2 linked regions of the Nothobranchius furzeri genome follow. The protein of the gene in region 2 purifies or fractionates together with the protein of the main gene of each other region. This does not show direct contact. Links are inferred from orthologs where the notes say so. Each region holds a gene or a part of one and is shown on either strand. Other genes may lie near its edges. The genes, in order: otud5a and zgpat.

The links.
Region 1: the proteins of zgpat (region 2) and otud5a purify together in Homo sapiens (affinity purification with mass spectrometry; 3 studies listed by BioGRID, with this or other methods). This does not show direct contact. The link is inferred for Nothobranchius furzeri from reciprocal best matches to the Homo sapiens genes ZGPAT and OTUD5.

The regions. Positions count from the first base shown.
Region 1 is NC_091755.1:47,047,487-47,051,327, forward strand, and holds the end of otud5a (OTU domain-containing protein 5-A), read left to right. Parts: intron 1-155; coding exon 156-220; intron 221-297; coding exon 298-454; intron 455-530; coding exon 531-679; intron 680-774; coding exon 775-960; intron 961-1,543; coding exon 1,544-1,748; intron 1,749-1,974; coding exon 1,975-2,046; intron 2,047-3,177; coding exon 3,178-3,320; 3' UTR 3,321-3,503; downstream 3,504-3,841. UniProt on the Homo sapiens protein: Deubiquitinating enzyme that functions as a negative regulator of the innate immune system. Has peptidase activity towards 'Lys-48'- and 'Lys-63'-linked polyubiquitin chains. Can also cleave 'Lys-11'-linked ubiquitin chains (in vitro).
Region 2 is NC_091755.1:51,596,066-51,598,574, forward strand, and holds part of zgpat (zinc finger CCCH-type with G patch domain-containing protein), read right to left. Parts: intron 2,427-2,509; coding exon 2,262-2,426; intron 1,134-2,261; coding exon 1,011-1,133; intron 1-1,010. UniProt on the Homo sapiens protein: Transcription repressor that specifically binds the 5'-GGAG[GA]A[GA]A-3' consensus sequence. Represses transcription by recruiting the chromatin multiprotein complex NuRD to target promoters.

The sequences.
Region 1 (3,841 bases), about 4.5 Mb from region 2:
ACCGTTGTGGGTTTTCCCTCATTGACCGAAGGGTACCGACGATGTTGTCCACATCTGTAAGTTCATAAAACGAAATCAATGATAACCTCCGCTAATAACAATATCACTATGATTGTGTGTGTGTGTGTGTGTGTGTGTGTGTGCGTGCGCCTCAGCTGATCAGGTGTACGGAGACCAGGACATGCACGAGGTGGTGCGGAAGCACTGCATGGACTATCTGGTGAGGAAGCGACTCGTTGCTGTAAAATCCGGAGCTTTCATCTCGTCGCCCGTTTTTAACCACATTTTCTCGCTCAGGTGAAGAACGCCGACTACTTCTCCAACTACGTGACAGAAGACTTCACCACATACATCAACAGGAAGAGGAAAAACAATTGCCATGGCAACCACATCGAGATGCAGGCCATGGCCGAGATGTACAACAGGCCAGTGGAGGTGTACCAGTACAGCACAGGTGAGTCCTGTCCCCCTGCTTTACAATCAGCCAATCGCATCGTAGTTTGCTTACCTTACTCCGCTTCCTCCTGCAGAGCCAATCAACACATTCCACGGCATCCACCAGAACAACGACGAGCCAATCAGAGTCAGCTATCACCGTAACATCCACTACAACTCGGTGGTGAACCCAAACAAGGCCACGATCGGGGTCGGCCTGGGGCTGCCCGCCTTCAAACCCGGGGTACCAGCACACACATCTCTCATCTCCTCCAGCTCGTACTGGTTTCCTCATTTTCATGTGTGTGTGTGTGTGTGTGTGTGTGTGTGTGTGTGTAGTACGCTGACCAGTCTCTGATGAAGTCAGCCATAAAGACGTCGGAGGAGTCGTGGATCGAGCAGCAGATGCTGGAGGACAAGAAGAGGGCGACGGACTGGGAGGCCACCAACGAGGCCATCGAGGAGCAGGTGGCCCGGGAGTCCTACCTGCAGTGGCTCCAGGACCAGGAGAAACAGGCCCGACAGGTACCGGAGCAGCTCAGTGAGGCCAAAACAGAGTCTGGCGGGTCAAAGTTCAGGAACGATTCCAGAGTTTGACGTGCTGTCTTTCTGCGGGACAGAAGTCTAGGTTGTTGTGTGAACTTTGACCGTGTTTTCAAAGTCTCCTATCAGAGGTCTCCAACCCATCTGTTAGATGTTGTTATGGCAACCAGCAGAAAACATCCTGGTTTTCAGTCTGATTGGTCGGTTTGATGTGGTTCTGCAGCTTGTAGTTCTAGTCGTAGATGTTGGAGATGAAGTTAAAGTCCCATTAGTTGTCACACACACAGGTGTGTGTGCGAAAAATGTTCTCCGCATTCGACCCATCCCCTGGGGGAGCGGTGAGCTGCAGACAAGCCGCGCTCGGGAACTATTTGGTGGTTTAAACCCCCAATCCAACCCCTTAATGCTGAGTGTCAAGCAGGGAGGCATTGGGTCCCGTTTTTTCAAAGTCTTTGGTCTGACCCGACCAGGAATCGAACCCTGATCTCCCAGTCTCAGGGCGGACACTCTACCACTAGGCCACTGAGAAAGGTCACGAATCCCACGGCCTTTCTATGTGTTCCAGCCCCGTAAGGCCAGCGCCACCTGCAGCTCGGCAACGGCAGCAGCCTCCAGCGGCCCAGACGACTGGAGTGCCCGGTCGCCACGGCAACGAGACTCTGACCCATCTCACTCTGATCTCACGACCAGCTCATCAGCGAACAACAAGCCCCCCTCGCCTGCAGGAGCCGCCCTGATCCTGAGCAAACCGCCATCGCCCTGCGCCCCAGGTGACTGACACACACACACACACACACACACACAGAAATGTTAATGTGCGAGGCTGATGACTGATAGGCTACTTTAAGCTAATGGTAACTGACAGCTAACGGCTAGTTCAAGCTAACGGCCCCGTCACAGTTAACAGCTAGTCTGGGCTGAAGGATAGTTTGTTAGAATCAGAGTCCAGAGTGGCGCCGAGCTGATGCAGAACCTGACTGGTGTGTTTGTGCTCAGGTCCAAGTAATCAGAGTCGTCACCACTTGGAGTACAGAGCCATCATGCAGGAGATGTCTCCCACAGCGTTTGGTAAGACACTTACACACACACACACACACACACTTACACACACACACTGAAAGATAGACACAGCTGTCAGTCACTTCTGTTGTTTACAGTCAAACCTCAGCTGGAGTCAACAGGAAGCAGCTGAGCAGAGCATTGTGTGTGTGTGTGTGTGTGTGTGTGTGCGTGTGTGTGTGTGTGTGTGTGTGTGTGTGTGTGCGTGCGTGCGTGCGTGCGTGCGTGCGTGCGTGCGTGCGTGCGTGCGTGCGTGCGTGCGTGCGTGTGCGTGTTTCTGAGCAACTCTGAGTTTATATCAGGGACCAAAACATTAGAAGTTCCTGTTTGTTGTGTTTTGTTTGTCTCTGAGCGGACGGTCGTGTGTCTGTAAACACTCAGATAATTCCACATCATCATGAGAACCAGATTCTGCCGATCCTCTCTGAGCTTCTGCAGCTTGTTGTCATGGCGGCTTGTTGTCACCCCCCCCCCCCCCCCCCCCCCCCCCCCGTTCGGTTTGAGCTCCTTCCTGTTTTCTGCTTCTTGTCTGGGTTCGGGTCGTTAGAGTCCGTATTCTGGTTCTGAAACTGAACAGTTCTCACCTTTTTTTGGTTTGGTTTCAAGATGAGCAGCGAATAAAGCAGCAGGTAAACTCGCTTCTGATTGGCTGCTGCGGATATGAGACGTGAACCTTCGGCTCTTTGAAGGTTAAATGAAAAGGAAACTTCAAAACCAACTTCCTGCTTCGTTAACTAACCCGACCAATCCCAGAACCAGCTCAACCAGTAGACTCCTGTTGGTGTTCAGTAACTAAACCAAAATCTTTATGAATTTGTTTAATTAGCCTTCATTCAGTAAATATTTTTTTATTCTGAAAAACATAAATGTTGTTTTCTTTGGTTTTATTCTTTAAGTTGAGTCTTTGAGGCATTTTTTAACCTGGGTTAGTCAGCTTTACCAGGTCACCTGACACACCTGCTGAAGGATGGATAACTGTTTAATATTAAATAACCCTAACCACCTAAACTCAACTATGAAGAAGAACCAGAACACGGAGACGGACCCGACTGGGTCAAAGGTTACTCAGAACCCATTTAGATCAGGAACCAAAGTGTGTAAGGTCCACCCTGACAGCAGGGGGCGCTGTGTGTGTTTCAGGTCTGACGGACTGGGAGGACGATGAGATCCTGGCGTCGGTTCTCGCCGTGTCCCAGCAGGAATACCTGGACAGCATCAAACACCAGAGCTCCTCCAGCACCGCCATGCATCGAGATAGGGAGGCGTCGCCCGACAGCAGCTGATACCCGGGTGACGCCAAACTCCGGCCCCTGCCATCTCACCCCCTCCTCCCCCGCCTCACCTCTGACCTTCAGACAGAGCTCAAACACAACAACGATGCACTCTTTTTTTTATTTTTTTCATCAGCTTCCTCTTCCTCTGTCTCACTTCCTGCTCCTCCCACTTCCTGGTACTTCACAGACACAGCTGGGTCTTACCACTGATCTGAGATCAGTTATTATTTAAAGTCAGCAGCTTCCAGCAGTTTGAGTTTTACTCCTCTCGTCAGTCAGGCTGAACAACCCCAACCCAACAGAACCCGGTGGCCGTCCCACTAACAAGTCTTATGAACTCAGCCACCATGTTGTCCCACCGCTGTCAGCCATGTTGTAGCAGCGCGGCTCATCTTCATCAGACGAACTGAAGCCTTCAGCCTGTAACTCCTCTTCATCATCACCGTCATCATCAGACTTATTTAGCTGCATGTTTAATCGACCACAGCGACATCATAGAAAAGCAACAAATAAAAAAAGGAGAAAAATAG
Region 2 (2,509 bases):
GATATAAAAAAAAGTGGTCCAATCGGGATTCGATCCCCAGACTCCCAGGTGAAAGTCAGGCATGCTAACCAGTCAGCCAAACGGAGATCTCCCCTGTACAAGTACACACTGTCACAGACGCATGATGTTCTGTCTCAATCTGTCCCCCTGCTGATATTCTGCACTCCGTATTCTGCGCGTCAGGCTGTGTGAGTGTGCGTGCGCGCGTGTGTGTGTGTGTGAGTGTGCGCGTGTGTGCATGTGGGGGTCTTGTTCTGTGTGAAAACGAAGCGGTACAAGTGATAATGCTGCAGGATTTCATAATTGTATCTTCTCAGCAGCAGCACTGCAGGTGCTCTCCACGTCCAACATGTGCATAAGCCAGGTCCTTAGTCAACTTAAAGTTGCGCACATTTTTCCGCTAAGTTTTCTTTCATAAATCCCAAAGTTTGCGTGGAAAGTTGCTCACGCAGTTTTCCGACCCTGTTTTGTGCATAAACAAGCTTGATGCATGAGACCCCTGATCTTTATTTATTGAAAAAAAGAAAGAGAAAATCTCTTTTTCATATGGAAAACTGTCCCCCCGGGCCGGTCATCAAAGTAAAGGTTTCTTTGAGATTAGGATTATTTTTGTCTGGATCAAGTTAAAACATTTTATTAGGAGACGGACTCGATCTAGATCATCAAACAGCTTTTGCACCAACGATTAGGTTTTATGGATGTAAATGTGCCTTTGAATGTTTGAAACAGTAGAATTACAGGTAGCAATATGTCACGTACTGGCAAGGCAACGCAGCAAACTGCACTGAGCACATCCTCAGCAGAAATGAATTTAAAAGCGCTAAATAGTCAACACGAACACTTTTTTTTATCTCTGTGTGTCATTAATCATCAGCAGCTATTTTATCAGTTTCATTTGTTCATTTGGATTCAGTTTAGTTCGATTCTAAACTAAAAAGAGAGTTTGAAAAAAACAAGAGTATTTCACAGATGACAGGACTTCATAACACCAAATGCATTTGAACTCTCACCTTTGCCATATTCATAGCCCATTTTGAGCATGAGCTTGGATCCGATGCCTCTAGTGTGAGCCTCCCAGCCACCGAAGTTAGCGCTGCTTGATGCTAACGTGGATTCTGTGGCAGAGTCCAGAACTGTGGCGAAAAAAATAACGCAGAAATGTGTAACAACATGTATATTACATTTTTATGTATGTAATATATAAGTGTGTGTGTGTGTATATATATATATATATATATATATATATATATATATATATATATATATATATATATATATATATATATATATATATATATATAGAGAGAGAGAGAGAGAGAGAGAGAGAGAGAGAGTATATACATATATATATACATATATATGTATATATATATACATATATATAGAGTATATACATATATATATACATATATATGTATATATATATACAGTATATATATATATATATATATATATACATATATATATACATATATATACAGTATATATATATATATATATACTGTATATATATGTATATATATATACAGTATATATATATGTATATATATATATACTGTATATATATATATATATATATATACATATATATGTATATATATATAAATAAATATGTGTACACACATATACATATATATGTATATAAGTGTGTGTGTGTGTGTGTATGTATATATATATATATATATATATATATATATATACTTTTTTCAGAATAAGACAAATAATTAAAAATAAAAAAATAATTCCAATATTTAAAAACATAACTCTTAAATTGGTTTAATTCAAGGTGTGTATTCATATTCAAATGTTTAATGTTGATTTTATGTAAAATAGTAAACGGCCTGTATTTGAGTCCTAGAGCCCCCCCCCCCCCCCCCCCCCATGCACTTTACAACTCAATCAGTCATCCACCCACCTACACACACACATGCACACACACATTCACATTTAAAAACACCCTTTCACTCAGTTTAGATAAAAAAGTAAATATTGATGTATACAAATGTTTATATATTTTTTTAATTTTAAATATTTTTTAAAAATATGTTAAAACATAAAAAATATTTTTAAAGCTTAAAATGTAAGGAGGTGTTTATTTATATTTATTGTATATATTTTTTTATATTTTTTACAAATTAAATATGTCTTTTAAAATATAATTACATAATTACTATATTTAAGAACACAACCTTTACATTGGTTTAAGTGAAGGAGGTGTGTTTTTTCATACAGATTCCTTTTATTTAAAATGGTCTTTATACCTTTAGCATACCCCACAGCCTCCCCATCTCCAGGTTCTTCAGTATCAGAGTCTGAGGAGAGTGGGTCGTCCTCTCTGAGAGGTGGGATGATGCCATCAGCCTCAACGACAGCATCTTTCAGCAGCAGTGAGTCAAACTTTACGGTATAGAAACCACTGTCAAGTTCTAAGATGAGAGAAAACGGAAATAATAATTTCAAATGTATAATTATTGTGATCAAACTACATTTAGATGACATTTAACAAATT